Astyanax mexicanus: one gene and its partners. The protein of the gene in region 2 interacts with the protein of the main gene of each other region in a pairwise test. Links are inferred from orthologs where the notes say so. Each region holds a gene or a part of one and is shown on either strand. Other genes may lie near its edges.

Region 1 (6,841 bases), on a different chromosome or scaffold from region 2:
AGTCCTGAATATACTGAGATATTTGAAGTGCATTATTAGTATCATGACGGTCTGGATCGTTGACTTCTGTTACAAATCTAAAAAAATCCTTGTATTTTTTTTTATATCTCAGTTAGGGGTGTGCCATTGTTGCAGAAGTGTACTTTTGAAATGTTTTTTTTTTTTTTAATTCAGTATTTTGTCATGTCGCCAAGAATATCATTAACGCAATAATACCATGAAATATCGTGATATTATTTTAAGGACATATCGCCCACCCCTAGTGAAAACCAACCAGCAATAATAAGCTCCTCCCCCAAACAAGCCCAGAATCGGTCCTGGGTACAGTGTGAAAACGGCCTTAAACGGCCTTCTTCAGAAATGACATCCACTCCAATTCCATGAGCACGCTGGTCAATGTTCAGCCTCACTAACAAGATAACACCTCACAAATACAGGTTTGGGTGTTTTCAAGTCAGTGTATATACACACACATTTTTGTACTCTTACCTTTGGAGACAAAATAGAAAAGTAGCGCTGTCCAGATTCACGCATGTACAGGTAGTACATGTTTCCTGGCTTCTTCACAACATTGCAGGCTGCGTGATGGAGGTCAGCATCTCTCTTAGCATCTTCCAAAACCTAAAATGTAAAAAATCTCAGCTCTTTTACCATATTTTTTACCCTTTAAAATGGACCATATGTAGCAGAAATACAAACATAAATCAAAGCAAAGAAATTATTTTTTTTTATCACCTTTCTGGCTTGTTCCTGCAGGTACCTTATTTGGTCAGCAATCACGGTCAACCTGTTACAAGCGTTAGCTCTGACAAATTCATCACCCTGGGAAAAAGAAACAACAACACATTAAACAACAGACGAAAAAGTGATGTATGATTGAGGAGATTTTCTCTGAAAGCACTGCTTACCTTCTGAACGTGCTGCGCCAAAGCAACAAGGTCCATTGGATCTCCGACTCGATTGGTCATGTAGGTGTTAACCAGAACCATTCCACTTGGATTGCTGTTGGTTTCCACCAAAGTGACTGAAACATTAAACATATCGAATATTAAAACCATTTTTAAGCTGTGTAATGATTTTAAAAATTCTAAATTTGATACATTTAGTAACAATGTGATATATTTTATGAATAAACTACTACCTGGTAGATTTTTATGAATAAATTAGATTTATTTAATAATATTCATGTTTTTGGGCTTATTGAAAGTTTTCAGCAATTCAGCTGAAAATGTGAAACTTGTATATTATATAGATGTATTACACACAGAGTGGTCTATTTTAAGTGCTTATTTCTTTTATTGTTGATGGTTATGGCTTACAGCCAATTAAATCCCAAAAATCTGTGTCAAAAATCAGGTCCAAAGTCCAAAGCCAGTGCAGTGTTTTCCCGGAAAAGGTCAGGTGCAAATGGACGCCATTAGGAAAATACTTATGTTAAAAATTTTGGTCTATTATATTAATAAACTAGATTTATTTTGCCCTACTCTAAGAGAATGTATTTCACACTTCTACTCAGTGATAAAACTCTTGTATCCAGACTGCAATTAAAAAAAAAACAGAATGACCAGTGAGTTTTTTGGCTTTCTTTGTCACGACATCACGTTCAGTAGCTCCTCCATTTCCACTCGCTGTTGTGTTTACGTGGATCTCCGTGGAAACGCGTTCTCAAAGTGTAATTACGGTGCGCGGCAGTGGACAAATAGCTATTTTATAAAACGCGAGGTGACGAAACCCAGAGATGTGGACTAAAATTAGCGGAGGACTATGGAGTTCAGTGAAATACAGTAGATAATTCAGACTGTAATTTTCTCAGAGAACTTTGGAAAAAAAAAACATACATGGTCGCTCTGGATGGGAATAAAATCACAGAAGACCCCAATAAAAGAGAAAATTACCCCAGAACCCCCTGAGAAACTTATCTCGTCCGGATAGGGCTTAAGACACACATTAGATGAAAGATGTTTTTATCCCATTTTTACCTTTAATTACGTAATGCTAGTGATTTTTATTAGTTAGCTTATAACAACCTGCAAAAGTTGAAGTGTTGTAGCAATAACAGAAGTGTAAGCAGTTCACGATATGAACTGTCTGCATCAATTTATTGACCTGTTGTTACTGACATGCCCCCATTTGGAAAATCCGAGTTTTTCAGCTGGTAAATACGAGTTTGTGGTGTGCTCTCATCTCGTAAATACCATTTTTCCCGACTTGGAGACGACTTGGAGGCAGCATTACAGCACTTCTTGCTTCCCTCTGCTGACAACTTTTATGGCGATGCGGATTTTATTTTCCAGCAGGACTTGGCACACTGCCCACACTGCCTAAAGTACCAATTGATCTTATATAATACTTTAATTTTCTAAAGCACTGATTTTTGGTTTTTTTTGGGGGTTTAATTTCATTGACTGTAAAACATAATCACCAACAATTAAATAAAAAAAAGCTTAAAATAGATCAATCTGTGTATAATACATCAATATAATATATGAATTTTACATTTTGAACAGAATTACTGAAATAAAGTAACTTTTCAATGATATTCTAATATTTAGAGATGCACTAGTAGGGTTATATAGCAAGTAAGACAGGCTTTTCTATTAGACAGAAAATCAGAGCTACTCTACTCTGTATTAAAGAGACACGTGTACTGTTTATTCCAGAACTGCCTGGTTGAACTGAGCAGCTGGATATTAGCATTACTGAATATTAATACAGGTTACAGCTGTGATCAGAGCTGATCTGTGGATCTTACCTGTGGTGGTTTTGTTGGGCTGATCGGGTAAACTCACTGTTTTATCCATGTTCTCTGTGCAGAAAAGGAGGATCGCTGTGCTGAGAGGTAGTTTAGTGTCTCTGTTTTCTCTGTGCAGAGGCGGAGGATCGCTGTGCGATAGTTTAGTGCCTCTGTTTTGTAACTGTTCGGTTACTGAAGTTTCATAACTGCTCAATAACTCCTGATTCGGTAAAACACGCCGAGAGCCGCACAGAGGCCACAGATTCTCTAATAGAGGAGATTACCCACTTCAGAATCTCTCCAGGGATTTTCAGCAGAGGGCGCTCGAGAGTACGGAAGCCCATTGCCGCCACCTAAAAAAAAATAATCCAGCACATTTTAAAATGATTATTAAGGAAATTGCTATCTTATTATTTTGAGATATTAGGTTATTATTTTGAGATACTATCTCATTATTTTGAGATACTATCTCATTATTTTGTGATACTTTCTCATTATTTTGTTGATAGTATTTAATTTTTTTGTGATAGTAAGTCATTATTTTGAAAGAAAAAAACGTTTTTTTCCCAAAGCAAACATACTAGCTATCTCAAAATAATGACTCACTATTTTTTTTTTAAAATACTTAGTATCTAAAAAAAAAATACTTAGTATCTCAAAATAATGACTTGCTATCTCAAAATAACGTATCTTAGAATAATGACCCTCCCCTAATCATCACATTAGGCTACTACTTTTTTTACTGTTTTTAGCAAAAAAAAAAAAAAGCACAATGTTCTCGTTATCCATTACATATGGAGATATTTGGAGTGCATTATTAGTATCATGACATTCTGCATCATTGACCTCTGTTAAAAACCTGATAAAATTCTTGTATTCTTTATTATCTCAGTTAGGGGTGTACCATATTATATTGTATGCAATAATACAATTTAATTTTCATTTTGTTGCAGTGATGTATTTTTTGGAATGTTTTATTTTTCTAATTCAGTGTTTTGTCATTTCGCCAAGTGTATTGTTATGGCAAAAATGCCATTAAATATTCTGCAGAGGCGGAAAGCATTTTTAAAGCTTCAAAGGAACACATTTCTTCTTTCATCTATTAATGAAAAAATATGGTTTAGGGTTTAGCTCATATTAGCAGTAATGCTACCACCTTTACTATCTAAAACCCTTTTGCTGTAGAAAAACAAAAATATACAGGTAAGATTTCTTAGCTTTCCTTGCAAAATAATTAAAGATACTTTCCCCAACTAAAGTAAAATCCTGGCCAAGTAGTTAGTTACTATTTTTAATTTGAAGGTTTTAGCCGATTAGCTCCATTCACCCCATTTATTTTGAACTCCTTCGAAGGCTCCCTCTAGCGGTTCCAGTCATTTTCTGATATTACGGCGGAGATATAAGGTGGACAGTCTCCTTATAAACCAGCTCTAAAGGGGCGTTTTTAGAGGTCCTTACCGCCTCCTTCTCTCAGAGTGCCTGTCTAGAAATCTAAGCGATTTTATAAGTGACTGAAAAAAGTAGTCACTGATTTAGGTAAATGTAGCTATATGTTATATTTTTTGTCTTTAAACTTATTTAGATATTTTGTAAAGCTTTACAAGTGCTTTAAATGTGAGAAAATGTTTATTCTAGTAAATCATAAGAATACTCGATCAGGCAGTTGAAAAAGACGGAAACCGCAATGGGTTGCTGGGAAATGTAGTTATTTTTTACAGAGGAATTTATTCGATTTATTATTCCTTTTTTGAACTTATTTTTAATTAATGTCTTTAAAAAATACCTTACAATAAAACGTTTGGGGTATACACATGCTTAAAGTTGACAAAAGTATATGGATATGCATTGTGTATACTTCAATTAAATGTATCTTAAATTGAATAGTGTATTAATGTTTTTTTTTTTGTTTTTCATAAATTTGGAATTAATAATTTGTTGATATAATATATTTCTTTCATTCTAATATTTACTTTTTTTTTTACCTGAGTGCATTTAAGAATGTAATGTACTTTCATTCAATTCTTCAGAAATGGGCCCAGAAATTACAACCCACCTTAATCCTTTTAGGGGCCTATCTAAGGCCCATGTGCTGTGCAATTTCTCTGTAGTAAATTTAAATTAAAGCTGGTTACAAGGTGTAAACACATTGTAAAAACACAAAATGTTGATACAGTCAGTGACACTCATTTTACAGTGGTTACCAGTATAATCTACCTCAGACATGACATTAGATCCAAGAAAAACTAAATGAATCATTTTTGGTTTGATAGTTTATAGCTTTTTTATAATTTTGCTTATAATCATTGACACTGTAGAGTCACTGAGCTGCTCAACACAGTAGTACAGGGTGGTTATATAAATGATATACACAAAGTACCCTTCCTGTCAACTTAAACCAGTATGATTATTCTCATTTATAGCAGCCATCTGAGGAAATAGGGATGTGGGGGTGGTGTTGCAGAGAAAAGCCACCACATTCCTTGCCAGTTGTAAGTAAAGGTGTTGTTATGGGGAGGGTCACTGTTTGGGAGTCGTTTAAAAATCGAATGGCCTGGGGATATTAGCTATTCAGTAACATGGCAGCCCTATATTTGCCAAATGGGAGTGTGTGAAGTGATTGGGTTGGGGTTGATTTTGTCCCTTGGAATTATATGGCCTCTGTTGAAGATCTAATTATTTTCAGTGGTGGACAGCAAAAATAAGTAAGTAATAAAAAATAAGTATTATTATAGACTGTTATATTTATAAAAAAAAAACATATTTATGTTAATTTTGTTGCAATGATACATTCTTGAAATGAATTTATATATTGCTTTTATTTAGCAAAGAATATCATTATCACAAAAATACCCTGAAATATTGTGCTGTTATTTTATCATTTAATTCATTTTGTTTCAATCAAGAAGTCTGGATGTACAGGACCAGTCAAAAGTTTAGACACACCTTAAATTTAGTGGTTTTTCATTATTTAAATGTTCTGCATTGTGGACTAATAATAAAGTAATTAAAATTATAAATACACACATTAAATTATTTAGTAAACAAAAAAGTGTTAAACAAACCAGAATATGTTTTATATTTTACATTCTTCAAAGTAGATGACAGCTTTGAACATTTTCTCAGTCAGCTTTATGAGATACCTGGAATGGCTTTCAGTTAACAGCTGTGCTGAACTTGACAAAACTTTATTACTTGAATTGCTTGCCTCTTAATGTGTTTAAGCACATCAGTTGTAAAGTTGTGAAGAGGTAGAGTTGATATAGACTATCCTCTAGTGCAGTCAAAAAGACTGTTAAAATTGTTATGATGAAACTGGCTCTCATCCGGACAGCCCCAGGAAAGAAAGAGAAAGAGTTTGCAACAGGATAAGTTCATCAGAGTTACCAGCATCAGAAACCACAAGTTAACAGTTCCCTAGATCATTTTATATTCTCTTTTTAGAACTATATTTGTTACAGATGCATATTTATATTATATTTCTCTGTCACATCAGTCACTTTCATAATCAATGTCATTGCACATTGCACTTTGCTCTGTTAATTATTTAATCACCATTAGCAACATCTACTGCACTGTTCTGTTTACAGATATATATTTACCTTGTGTAGTAAGTTTTTTTTCATAGCCTTATATATTTTCTATTCTTCTTTGTTTTAATTTATATTTGAATATGTTTCTTATTGTATTGTGTGGTTGCTGCTGGATGCCTTAATTTCCTTAGGGATAAATAAAGTATCTGTCTATCTATCTATCTATCTATCTATCTATCTATCTATCTATCTATCTATCTATCTATCTATCTTTTTGGTTTGTTTAACACTTTTCTATAAGTTTCTACATGATTTATTATGTGTTTCATCACAGTCTGGATGACTTCAGTAATTTTTTACAACGTAGGGAAAAAAGTCACACTTATAAAGTTCCAACAGTTACTGGGGGCATGTGGCCTACAGTAGATGGGGATCAACAGGACCAGGCAGGGGGTTAGCAGTGGCTCCAGAAGTGACTCCACCTCCAGCAAAACCTTCCCCCATCCAGGGCAGAGCTGTGGATGTGGATGTGGATGTGGTGACTCCAGTCTGCAGCAGTAGCAGAGCTCAGGATCTC
Region 2 (7,028 bases):
CCTACTGGCTTTTTGTTTCCAAATAGGGATCTGCAAAACAGAACAAGTACAACAAAACCAATATCAAAACAGTAAAAAAAAAAACACAAACAGCCTCAGTTATATACTCTCATTACATTTTAACAGAGCACTCACAGTTCTTTTTTCATTGGATATAAAAACTGCATACACCTCATCCACTGGACAGGTCTCCTGGTCCTTAATATATTCACACAATTTCCAAACATTCTCCTCACTGTAGAATAAAACAAAGACTTTCACTAAGTTAATAGCAGACACACAAATGACATGACAACATACACATCATCGCTGTCCAGAAAATAAAATGTGTATCTCAATCATTAAAACTTTACACAAGACATTCAATGGAGTTAATGTAAAACATCAAATATTTCAATCAAATATTTCAAGTAATTTTGGAGCATTTATACTGGTCCATTTATCATGGAATCTGGAATTAACATAACACCTGCTAAATTTACAGTTTCAAAAAGAGAAACATGGCAAAAACAGAGAGACAAGGTTTTTGCATCAACATATATTTGAGACTATGCATAATGCATATTAACAGCCTAAGTAATTGAAAAATTGAAAAAAGAACAAGTTGGCACTGCCACATCCACAGATACATAATGTTCAAGAATAAAGCCTCTCTGTAAGAACTAACACTCTTTATAAGATATAAAAATGGACTTTGCGACCATTGCTGAAAATACATTTAATAACATAAAAGTTATACATAAGTTATTTCTTTACAACAGCATATTCCACAGCAAGAAATATTACGATACATTTAAAGAGAGTTTTTAAAATAATTTCCTTTATAAGAAATACTGATATCACATGCACTTCAAAGTCAAAGTGTTTTTTTTTTGGTCATTTCAGCTATATACAGAGTACACAGTGAAACGAAACAACTTTCCTCCAAGGACCATGGTGCACATAAACACAGTGTAGACAGAACAATAGTGCAACAGTACAAAAGTGCAGACAGACAATACAACACAATACAGACAAAGAATAATAAATAACAAGACAGTGTGCAAATTTTGCAGTGTGCAAAAAAGACCAGGTGAGGTAGTAATTACTCTATTACACAGTGTGCAATAGAGTCCAGTGAGGTAGTAGGGTTTTTAGTGCTTTCCATTTTCTGGGGTAAGTGGGGTAAGAGTGTGTGTGCATGTACAGAAAAACCATCAGTTCAGTCTCTGCAGTTAAGGAGTCTGATGGCTTGGGGGTAGAAGCTGTTGCAGAATCTGGTCGTGCTGGACCGGATGCTGCGGTACCTTCTTCCCGAAGGCAGGAGGGAGAATAGTTCGTGTGAGGGATGAGTGGGGTCATTCACAATGCTGGTTGCTTTGCGGATGCTGCGGGTGGTGTAAATGTCCGTGATGGAGGGGAGAGAGACGCCGATGATCCTCTCAGCTGTCCTCACAATACGCTGGAGGGTCTTGCGGTCAGAGACGGTGCAGGTCCCAAACCAGGCAGTGATGCAGCTGCTCAAGATGCTCTCAATGGTCCCTCTATAGAAGAGTGTGAGGATGGGTGGAGGGAGACGGGCCTTTCTCAGCTTCCGGAGGAAGTAGAGACGCTGCTGGGCTTTCTTGGCTGTAGAGCTGGTGTTCAGGGTCCAGGTGAGGTTATCTGCTAAGTGGACACCAAGGAACTTGGTGCTCTTAACAATCTCCACAGAGGACCCGTCGATGTTGAGTGGAGAGTGGGTGTGTTGTGCTCTCCTGAAGTCAACAACCATTTCCTTTGTCTTGTCCACATTCAGGTGAAGGTTGTTGACTGTACACCAGTCTGTCAGCCGCTGCACCTCCTCTCTGTATGCTGACTCGTCGCCTTTATTTTCAGTAATAAATTTTACATTTTTTACATTCCTGATATATTTTGAAATCAATACTTATGTTTACCTGTGGTTTAATTTCCCGTTAATTTTAATAATGCTTTGTAAGTAGAGCCTGTTAGTTAACTGCTGTCAGTTAAATGTGTTCTATACTGAGTGCTTTAGGATGTTTTGAATTAATGATGCATACAAATAAACATTTAGTAATGAAAAATATATTTCATTAGGTTTGGGTATTTAAATGTTCACCCATGAACCCATTACTGAAAACTAAAAGATAAAAAGCCTTTTAAGATATTCTGCAAAATATAGAGCCAACACTTAACTCAGCAAACATACAACATTAACACAAAATTGTCTGTTTTCTAACAATATTCCCAACAAGAACTAATTAAGTTAATTATGTTTTTTCATAAGAAAATCATTATATTACATTATATTTAATATCAGTATATTTGTAACACATTGTATACGGTGTATATAATCAGGAAAGATAAAAAAATAAAAAATAAAAATCCTGTTTGTTTTCTAAACAAAACAAAATGAAGACTAATCAAAACAAATGAAAAATTGTTTAAGACTTATTCATTTATTTATAATCATTTATTAGTTTTCATCTCTAGAGAGCATGGCCTTAATAACTTTAATAAATGTAATACATTTATGCTCACTAAGCTAAATATAATTGATTTGATAGGGATTATCAGACAACATTAAAATCACGTTGGGATTAAAATGCATTAGAAAAAAAAATGTAACTCGAAGTTTTGCAGATTGAAAAGCTAATTCAGGTGAAGTACCTCAGTAATATAAACAATGCAGAGCATTTAACTGTCAGCTTTCTCCAGTCCCACAGCGATAATTCACAGTTATTGTTAGTGAATTAGCGTCTGAATGACTGAATGAATGAGAAAATGAGTGTGAGAGAGATCAGTACCAGTAGCAGCTCGTATACACACATTCCTGCCGCGGCGGAGCGATCACTGTGTATTCTGGAGACGCGCCCTCCTCTTCTACCATGTTCTCAGCGCTTATATTACACTAAATTAAACACTACTGATCGGAGATGATCATTATAAACAGAGAAAACTCCTTAACAAACACATATACAGCCGCCCAGCCCATCTGTACACAGTGTGCTACAGTTCTTTAGTCCGGTGTTCTGAAAATCTGTGCTACCTTATCAGATTGTGCTACCGTAGCGCATTTTTATAGACATAGCTGTCGGATTGTGCTACCGCGTCGAAATGTCCTACCGCACAGCGCATTTCTTAAAGGGGCAGTAACTCGCCTATAAAGTAATAAAGCACGTGTTTTTTACCCTTTCTGCTTACTCCAGTGACGAAATTACCTTATCAGAATGCGTTACTAGTATCAGTACTGCAGGTAGGATAGATTTATAGACTAAATTACCTTATCAGAATGCGCTACCAGCATTTACACTGTAGGTAGGATAGATTTATAGACTAAATTACCTTATCAGAATGTGCTTCCAGCATTTACACTGTAGGTAGGATAGATTTATAGACTAAATTACCTTATCAGAATGTGCTACCAGTATCAGTACTGCAGGTAGGATAGATTTATAGACTAAATTACCTTATCAGATTGTGCTACCAGCATTTACACTGTAGGTAGGATAGATTTATAGACTAAATTACCTTATCAGAATGCGCTACCAGCATTTACACTGTAGGTAGGACAGATTTATAGACTAAATTACCTTATCAGAATGTGCTACCAGTATCAGTACTGCAGGTAGGATAGATTTATAGACTAAATTACCTTATCAGAATGCGCTACCAGCATTTACACTGTAGGTAGGACAGATTTATAGACTAAATTACCTTATCAGAATGTGCTACCAGTATCAGTACTGCAGGTAGGATAGATTTATAGACTAAATTACCTTATCAGAATGTGCTACCAGCATTTACACTGTAGGTAGGACAGATTTATAGACTAAATTACCTTATCAGAATGTGCTACCAGTATCAGTACTGCAGGTAGGATAGATTTATAGACTAAATTACCTTATCAGATTGTGCTACCAGTATCAGTACTGCAGGTAGGATAGATTTATAGACTAAATTACCTTATCAGAATGCGCTACCAGCATTTACACTGTAGGTAGGATAGATTTATAGACTAAATTACCTTATCAGAATGCGCTACCAGCATTTACACTGTAGGTAGGATAGATTTATAGACTAAATTACCTTATCAGAATGCGCTACCAGCATTTACACTGTAGGTAGGATAGATTTATAGACTAAATTACCTTATCAGAATGCGCTACCAGCATTTACACTGTAGGTAGGATAGATTTATAGACTAAATTACCTTATCAGAATGCGCTACCAGCATTTACACTGTAGGTAGGATAGATTTATAGACTAAATTACCTTATCAGAATGCGCTACCAGCATTTACACTGTAGGTAGGATAGATTTATAGACTAAATTACCTTATCAGAATGCGCTACCAGCATTTACACTGTAGGTAGGATAGATTTATAGACTAAATTACCTTATCAGAATGCGCTACCAGCATTTACACTGTAGGTAGGATAGATTTATAGACTAAATTACCTTATCAGAATGTGCTACCAGTATCAGTACTGCAGGTAGGATAGATTTATAGACTAAATTACCTTATCAGAATGCGCTACCAGCATTTACACTGTAGGTAGGATAGATGTATAGACTAAATTACCTTATCAGAATGTGCTACCAGCATTTACACTGTAGGTAGGATAGATTTATAGACTAAATTACCTTATCAGAATGTGCTACCAGTATCAGTACTGCAGGTAGGATAGATTTATAGACTAAATTACCTTATCAGAATGCGCTACCAGCATTTACACTGTAGGTAGGATAGATTTATAGACTAAATTACCTTATCAGAATGTGCTACCAGTATCAGTACTGCAGGTAGGATAGATTTGTAGACTAAATTACCTTATCAGAATGTGCTACCAGCATTTACACTGTAGGTAGGATAGATTTGTAGACTAAATTACCTTATCAGATTGTGCTTCCAGTATCAGTACTGCAGGTAGGATAGATTTATAGACTAAATTACCTTATCAGAATGCGCTACCAGTATCAGTACTGCAGGTAGGATAGATTTATAGACTAAATTACCTTATCAGAATGCGCTACCAGTATCAGTACTGCAGGTAGGATAGATTTATAGACTAAATTACCTTATCAGAATGTGCTTCCAGCATTTACACTGTAGGTAGGATAGATTTATAGACCAAAATACCTTATGGTTCTACCAAAAAAAATCAAGAGACCACTTCAAAATGTTCAGTTTCTCTGATTTTGCTATTTATAGGTTAATGTTTGAGTAAAATTAACATTGTTTTATTCTGAACTACTGACAACATTTCTCTCAAATTCCAACAACCACAACAAAAATATCATTTAGAACATTTAAATGTAGAAATAGAGAAATCATCAGAATAACAAAATAAAGATGCAGGGCTTTTAGACCTCAAATAATGCAAAGAAAACAAGTTCAACAATTAATGTTTTAAGAGTTCAGAAATCCGTATTTAGTGGAATAAAATGGGAGGGGGGAGAGGGGGGAGGGGGGAGAGGGAGAGGAAGAGAGGGGGGGGAGAGGGAGGGAGAGAGGGAGTTTAATTGTTTGAACATTTTGTACAGTAGTAATTGTTTCCCTTGTTATACTGTGCACACTCAAAGTGTGCCCACCTACTGCAGAGCTCACACTGCACCTGAAAATAAACCACAAATCATTAATCAAAACAGTGCAGTTGAACAAAAGAAAATGCTGGAGTGTCCAATATGGACAGTTTCACCATTGTGATGAAACTGTCAAATTATGACAACATTATATTTATATTAAAGTAGAACACATTAACAATCCCTGCATAAATAACCCTATAGTCTCTGTCCCTTAGCCTTGTTCTGTTAAGACCTTGAACTGTGTGTGACAACTTATTCTGAAGCAAAAAAATGGACGTGTTGATTTAAATACAGTTTACTGGCATGAAAAAAATTACCATTTCGATTACGCTCTTGTCGGCATCACTTTCCAGCATGGAACAAATTATGCAGTAGTCCTCAGCGTTCCCTATTAAAAATATTTACCTGGTTAAATGCCAAGGCACTCCATTATGCAGATGTGTATATTATGTAATAATCTGAGCAGCCAATCATTTGACAACAGTACAATGCATATAAATGATCAGAAGATACTACAGGATCAGTGATTTTACATACTAGATTACCTTATCAGAATGTTCTACCAGCATCAGCGCTGTAGGTAGCATAGATTTATAAACTAAATTACCTTATCAGAATGTACATCCTGGATCAATTCAACAGGTTGGAACATTTTATTACAGAATGGAAACGGCATTACTCTAAAACTCACCACGGCATTCAAGCAAAGAACATGCTATTTGCATGCGTGCACTGCTCACAGCTCCTGGTGTTGTCTGAAGTGTGCGGACATCTCCACTCAGAAGAAAATCTTCAGAAAACTAAAATTTAAGAATAACATTGTTATGAAATGATAAAATTGTTTTTCATACAATTTACTTGACAATCATAATTATAGTAACACAAAAAATAATATGTACCTTCAACACCAATACTCCACAGCTGCTGGAGTCTTGCTGCACATTGTGCTGCATTGGCAGCACCCGCCATTCAGCTCTGTGGTCCTTGTGATCCAGAGTCTTCAAAAAATTCCTTCAATTTTTTGGAGTTGCATGTTATCAGTGTGGCTTCCAATCTGATAGTGCCAATGTATTTAATAAAGGAATGTGTCTGAAAATCTTACCTCCAGTTCCTTAGAATTTTTCTTTCTAGGGCACTTTCTTGTCCCATTGGATCAATGACTTTTAGTACCTTCTCAGACATGATGATGATCTGATGTATTTAAAAAAAAATACAAATATAAATGAATGAATAAATTTATGCAATAGTACTGGACAATTGTGTCATTTCATGCACATTTTAGACTTTTAAGCACATTGATTAAAGCTGGAAAATGCTAAAACGGGCCGCTCTGTGACCAGAGATAATAATCTCTCCCTGCAAACTGAAGTAAAAACAAACATCTGGGGAAAAACATTCTACACATTCTACAACCATTCTACAAGATTTCTGAAATGAAGTAAAGCAGGACAGCTTTGAAG
Region 3 (7,099 bases), on a different chromosome or scaffold from region 2:
TGTACAGGTGAGAAAACAGACTTTATCTAAGACCCATTACACTACATGTTGAGGAAAAGAACAACGAACACAAACATAAAAAAATTATTCCAACTGTAAAACATGGTGGGGGAGCATTAAGGCATGTGGCTGCTTTACTGCCTCAGGACTGCCTGAATGCTTTGCAATCATTGAAAGAACAATTAATTCAAAAAGGCATCAAAATGTTTTAGAGGAGTAAATAAGACCAGCAATATATGACATCCATGATGTGGAAGCTTAAGAAAACAAGTTCTGACTACCATCAACGCCCATTTAGATACAGATGCATGACCTGAAGGAGAATGTTTTACCCACAATACATCCCAGAAATAAGGATCACTAATAAGGAACTGGTTGGGCTAAAAAATAACAAAGAACAGTAATTAAGCAGTTAACGCAACTATATATATATATATAGCTTGGCTCTTCAGTTTTTGGTGAGAATGTGTAATTGCACAGATTATGCTTAAAACATACTTTTTAAACATGCATTGTGGTGCAGTCACCATTCAGAATGAATAAATCTGGTAATTTTAGTGACAATTAGCAGCACAATGTTTGCTCATGAAAAGCAGCAAAAGCTGCCACAGCCAGAAAAAGGAACCTACCAGGCACCCTGTTTTTTAAATGAATAAATGTGTCTTTGCAGGAACAATGGCAGAAGCACACTGATGCCTTTTACTATATATTTTGCCCTCTCCCTACTCAGGAACACTACTGCTGCTATCAGTTTCATTACTAGAAGTATAGATACTAGGATTTAAAAATACTTGTGCAGAAGTTAATGTATCAACTCAAGTAAAAATGTAAATGTACTGGTCTCAAAACTACTTAAAACTACTTAAAACTTTTTAAGTATAAAAGCTACTACAGTAGCCTATAGTGCACCACCCTCCTCCCCCAAACACATTTTTCTAAAAGCTAGAACGACTGTTATGTTAAATTAAAATGTTAATCATGAAAGATTTGGCATGCACTAGGCTCCTAGTTAAACCACAGGTGTGATGGACGTAACAGGAGTTTTTAGCCTAAATGTATTTGTAATGAAATGTACAGTTGGGTCAGTGTCATTTAAGCACTGACAATATCCTTAATACACCTATATTGATGTATCGCCTAGCTTTAGCTATACAGTGGCTAAAAAAACAGTAACTAAGTAACATACACATACTAATAACTATATACTAATACAACCATTATTCATACTTTTACTGATATTAATAAAAAAAGAGAAAAGTTAATTTCCTGAAAACACAATTTGTTATGTTTTTATAATAGATATTTTTGTATTGTAAATTTATACTACCTCAACTATCAGTGCTACTTCTACATTTAAAACTAGAGAATTTTCTTTTCCTTTTTGTGTATTTTATACTGTATGTACTGTACTAAAATAGTATTATTTATTATTACTTTTACTTTCCAAAATATTATATTTTCATGTTGTAGTTTGTATTTTATATATTTAGGTATCATACTAAAATATATACTACTGCAACTATTACTACTACTTTTACTAATACAAAAAAAAATAGAAATTATATCTTAACTTTTTATCTTAGAATTTAAACTTTTAGGTATTGTACCGAAAACTATACCAATATAACAATTATTGATTCTTTCATTGAAATTAATATAAAATTTTCTGAAGAAATCACAATTTGCTATGTTTGTATTTTAGATTTGTATGTATTGCACCGAACATATACTACTGAAACTACTATTGCTATTTCTACTGATAAAACTAGAAAAGGTGCATTTTCTAAGGAAATCATATATTTTTTTTAATACTAAACTGTACTAAATAAAAATATATACTAGTACTACTTTTACTTGCCAAAATATTATATTTTCATGTCGCAGTTTGTATTTTATCTATATCCTTCTTTACAGTAGGATCTTTATTATCATTTTGTGTGGATTTATATTTTATATGTATGTTTTATATCTTATACATTCTACTACACATATGTATTATTCTGAAGAAAACATTTTAGTATTTAAAAGTTTTATGAATTGTTCCAAACTCTATACTAATACAATAATTAGTCCTATTTTTACTGACACTAATACAAATTAGAAAAGTTAATTTTCTGAAGTAGTCTGCTGTCGTTATGCTAAGCTAATGTTATTAGTTTTTAGCCCACTTAGCTAGTTAGCTTTGCAAATGTTACTGCTAGGCTGAAATGATAAACATGAAGCCTGGGCGACCCTTAAGCAGAGCTCACCGAGCAGATTTATAGTTAGTTAGCTAGCTAATTAGATATATTCACAGATAAACTAACTGAAATTGACTGGTTTGCTTTTAAAGAGCTTAAATTTGCAAACTACTAAAATTGTTACTGAAACTTCTGGCTATATCTAGTTAACCAGCTAAATGCTAAGGCTAGCTAACATCCTTTAGCTATAGCTACCAGGGGCTAGATAGCTAAAGCTGACTGTCTGTCTGGACTGTAAACACATGTGGGCGGGCAGAGGGGAAAAGTTAGCGTTAGCTACCAGAGCTAACTACTGAACTACCTGCCTACTGAACTTCATACAGACAGATGTTTAAAACCAGAGCGAGCGATCAATCTCCCCAGCTAATCAGTTAATAACAGTAAATGAAGCACTTATTATAAACATATCCGCCACCTACCAGGTCTCCTGATTACTGAACTTCTTAGTGATGACTTTCCCCAGATCCAGTCCGAGGCGGTCCGCCACCTTCTGGGACAGGTCGTGGTGAGAGCTCCCGCTGAAGAGCACGATGTTGGGCATGGCTGCAGCGCGGCGGCGGCGGTGCTGGAGGAGCTCAGGCGGAGAAAGAGAGCGCGCTGTGCGGACAGAGAGACGGACTTCGGCCGGGGAGGAGGAGGAGGAGGAGAGGAGAGGAGGAGGTGGAGGAGGACAGGTTAGAGATTAAAGTGATCTAAAACTGCAGCTCTGCATCCTAGATCTGCACGGAGTGAGAGACCGGGGCGAAAAGGAAATGACGAGCGAGCCCGTCACTCCAAAAGAGAACGAACAGGAGCAGGGGCGGGAGGGCCGGTGTTCTGTCGAGTTGTGCTACCCATCAAAATGTGCTTCTCAACACCTGTGCGCATGCGCGGAACCACTTTAGCAAGTTTACTTTTCTTTTTATACGGTAATTCTTTTCTATTTGGGTGAATTAAACAACCGAAACTCCTGTAATTATTTATGCGAGTTATTGCAAATGTGTAAATGATAGGTAATAATAATAATAATAATAATAATAATAATAATAATAATAATAATAATAATAATAATAATAATAAATGAGCAATGAAAAAACAAATAACAACAAAATACATAATATTATACACTATTCATATAAAACTGTATGTAAGTATTTAAAGTTTTGTTCTCAGGGACAGCTGATTCAGCACATCTGCAGAAGCAGAGAAATTTGCAAAGCTGTACTGAGCCATTAATTCAGAAACAGGCCAGCAGGTTTAGGTCTTTTTATTAGTTTAATTATAAATGTCTTCCTGGAAGTGATTTATGGATTAATTTTAAAGCAAGAAATAAGCACTGTTTTAGGTTTGTGACCTGTATGTGTCTCTTCTTTATACTTACAAGTACTAAACTGAATTGTTTCACCAGGAGAGTTTTGGATGAGAGACTGTGTTGGGTCTAGCTGTCGGTCGATAGCTGGACTGCATCCTTACCTAACCTGCTGTGATTCAGTGTTACAGAACTGGTCCCGTAGCCTCCAGCCCACCCTGTTGTGATTGTCCTGTTGGAGTCGCTGCTGTCAGAGTGTAAGCTGCATTGAGCACCGAGACGCCCAGCAGCCCATCAGCGCTGCAGAGTCGCCCTTTAGCCTGAGCTGCAACAGAGACATGAGACCAGGTTTTCTCATTTGCCTTTTGATACTTTATTTGTTTGTTTGTTTTTTTTCAGTACTTTTTTTCTGCTAAATTTATCTGGTGGTGGCTCAAAGGTTTGTCTTTCCATTTGGGAATAAAAAAGTGAGGTTTCTTCTATTTTAAAGTGTTTTCCAGCAAAAATTTAAAAGTTTATTTTATAATTAAATTCAGTTCATAATTTAAGTTGGAAAAATTAATAAATAGAGTAAGATATAAATTATTTACTTGCACTAAAATTAATGTATCCAGGAATCTTTGTCACTTACATGACTGTGCAAGTGTATAAGTCAACAAGCTTAGTCGAATTATAACATTTTATTTTTGCAGGTAATTTACAGATGCAAAGAATATATATTTAGAATATTTTTTTTACTTTTTCAAACTGAAAAAGTGAAAAGAATGGCCTTTAACAAATAACATTTAGCAATACCACTTCAGCCCATAGATTTAAAAAAAAAAACATTGCCATAGCAACCACATAGCCCTGTATTTGTCCATTATTAGTCAAGCATTGTTGAACAAACGGAAAACAAGTAATTTCCCTCTAAACGGTTTACAGAGGATGAGCACTGACTAGAGCAGGGGTGTCCAAACTTTTTTTTTTTGGGGGCCAGAAGGAGAAATATATTTGAAGTCACGGGCCACACTCTGTAATAAAACAAATAATGAATAATACCACTTTAAATAATACTTTTTTCCTGATTACTTTCATTTACACACCATTTTGCTTGACTTACTATCTTTGTCTTTGACAGTGTTGTGTAAACTAAGATTTTTCAAACTGATGTTTAATTTCATGATGTCTCTTAATATTAAACTATTTAATTACGGCAACTATGCGCACCCTCTCCGCTTTTAGACTCTTTGGCCCGTTTCTCTGCGCTAGAAATGCGCACTCTCTTCGCTTTTAGACTCTTTGGTCCCGTTTCTCTGCGCTATAAATGCGCACTCTCTCCGCTTTTAGACTCTTTGACCCGTTTCTCTGCGCTAGAAATGCGCACTCTCTTCGCTTTTAGACTCTTTGGTCCCGTTTCTCTGCGCTATAAATGCGCACTCTCTCCGCTTTTAGACTCTTTGACCCGTTTCTCTGCGCTTCATCTTCTAGTTTAAGAGAAGGTCTAACTCGTGTAATATTTTTTTAGATTAAAAAATGCTATTTAAATAACATTGTCAAAATAAAGTTTAAAAGGTAAACTAGCATCTAGCACTTTGTTCCTCTTGTTCTAGTAGGAACTGTGATGATGGCTAAAGCAGATTATGTGGAAATTCGGGGGACATTGATTTAGGACAAGAGGTAAAAAGTTTTTTTTTTTTTTAGATTTATGTATTTTCATAGAGTCTGCAGCAAAATTTATGAAAAAAGTTGGGAACTATGATTAACAATTCCCATTGGATGATGTAATTCTGAAAACAAAATGTTAAAATTAAACATTTTGTTTATGAATCTGCTTAGATACATGGTGGGCATAATGAGGCAGGGAGAGTCCGGTGTGTGGACACTAGTCATTAATCTCATAGCTTCTTAGGCATTATGTAGACCATTGTGAAATCTTGAATTAGGGTTGTGCCGATGGACTTTGACTGAACATAAATTTATTTTATTTCACTTTGCTATTATGTAACTGAAATTCACTTTTAATTTTTTTTTTTTTCATATCTAAAAAATAAAGCATCACCCTGGTATCTGATGCTGCACGTCAAGTATATAAAACATTTGAAATACAGATGATGGAGAATCATTGAAAAAAAATAAAACAAAACAGAATAGGCTTTTAAAGATTTTAATCGCAATTCTTTACATGTAACAAAATTAAGGAATAATGTAATCATAAAAGTGGTCTGTTATCTAAGGGCAACATCATGCCACAGAGGGCTGCTTATTGTTATCCTAAAGGCTAGAAGAACCTCTTTTATCATTTAACATTTAATAATTGAACATGTCTAATATTTTTGTAATTTGTTTGATTAGGTTCTCCTTATCTGGTTTTAGCACTTACATTTTAGGTCATATTTATGCAGAAATAAAAAGAAATCCAAAAGGCTGCAAATTGCACCACTTTTTGTCTATTATTTTGGATATTTTTATTGTTAAAGGTTATTTCACTTTAAATTGAAGAAAATTATGATGATAATCTCAAAAGTGTGTTGGTGGCAGTGACCGTTACAAAGGCAGGCCAACAGATCAGGAAGTTTTCAGAGCCACCAGCTGAAAAACAGCTTCATAATCGGACACCTCGTTGTTCTCTGGCTTGGGTCCAGAAAAGATTTCAAACTCATGAACAGTAAAGCCAACATCCTTGAGGTATTCTTTAATATTCTGCTCGGTTAGCGGCAGACAGGAGAAGCGGGTTTGGTTAACGACATAAAAACTCTCCCCTAAAACTCCCACCATCACTAGAGCTCCATTAGGACGAAGCAGTGAGGCCAGTCCAGCTAGCGCCTTTTTATACGCTTGCATGTCTTTGCAGGCCGCCTCAAGACACAGGGATGTTATCACGCAGTCTGCTGGCTTCAGGTTTTCAGGGTGGAATGGATTTTCCAGCCGGACGTCGCACTTCAGGATGTGTTTCACCCTTTGCCTTATTTTAGCTTCCACTTCTGATGGGCTGTAGGAAGAGTTTAACAGAACAGTTAGTTAGCTAGATAGATAAGTTAAGCTGGGAGTAAGCTGTTGACATTGGGCTTTTTTTAATCCCAATTTTTAGGTCTTAGGCTCTGTCCATAATTTTATGTATGTGGATAATTTTATAAATGGAAATTTTCCATTCACACTTGCATTGGCACGCTGGCCAGTGTGGAGCAATGATACTTTAGGAGCACCTCATAAATAAAGACATCAACACACCACAAAAAATATGTTTATCCCAAATTACACATTACTTTATTATTATTCAGGGCAATTTTGAGTATACAGTTAACCTGCTCTCCATGTTTTTGGACTTTAGGGGGAAAACCCACACAGGCAGAACATGGAAAGTGTCAGGAGATTTTGAGTTTATCCAGAAATATGTATTATGTATTGTGTCATCAGCACCATAACCAATACAGATCTGAAAAAAAAATAAGAGATCACTTATATGATGAGTTTTTTTAATTTTACCTTATTGAAAACCTCTGGAATATAATCAAGAGGAAGATGGATAATCACAAACCATCATACCAAGCTGGACTGCTTGAATTTTTGCACCAGGAGTAGCATAAAGTTA

Evidence for each region. The genes of interacting proteins can lie anywhere in the genome.
Region 1: the proteins of wdyhv1 (region 2) and c24h1orf50 interact in binary tests that used the Homo sapiens proteins (3 or more experiments, as listed by UniProt). The two-hybrid records come from large-scale screens. The link is inferred for Astyanax mexicanus from reciprocal best matches to the Homo sapiens genes NTAQ1 and C1orf50.
Region 3: the proteins of wdyhv1 (region 2) and ribose-phosphate pyrophosphokinase 2 interact in binary tests that used the Homo sapiens proteins (3 or more experiments, as listed by UniProt). The two-hybrid records come from large-scale screens. The link is inferred for Astyanax mexicanus from reciprocal best matches to the Homo sapiens genes NTAQ1 and PRPS2.

What each region holds. Positions count from the first base shown.
Region 1 is NC_064431.1:5,846,554-5,853,394, forward strand, and holds the start of c24h1orf50 (uncharacterized protein C1orf50 homolog), read right to left. Parts: upstream 3,004-6,841; 5' UTR 2,802-3,003; coding exon 2,753-2,801; intron 1,025-2,752; coding exon 909-1,024; intron 823-908; coding exon 736-822; intron 622-735; coding exon 490-621; intron 1-489.
Region 2 is NC_064410.1:47,214,037-47,221,064, forward strand, and holds the start of wdyhv1 (protein N-terminal glutamine amidohydrolase), read right to left. Parts: upstream 3,005-7,028; 5' UTR 2,870-3,004; coding exon 2,787-2,869; intron 236-2,786; coding exon 136-235; intron 31-135; coding exon 1-30. UniProt on the Homo sapiens protein: Mediates the side-chain deamidation of N-terminal glutamine residues to glutamate, an important step in N-end rule pathway of protein degradation.
Region 3 is NC_064428.1:22,490,888-22,497,986, forward strand, and holds the start of ribose-phosphate pyrophosphokinase 2, read right to left. Parts: upstream 3,004-7,099; 5' UTR 2,782-3,003; coding exon 2,660-2,781; intron 1-2,659. Other genes in the region: zgc:64002 (nicotinamide N-methyltransferase), read right to left, coding at 6,076-6,499. UniProt on the Homo sapiens protein: Catalyzes the synthesis of phosphoribosylpyrophosphate (PRPP) that is essential for nucleotide synthesis.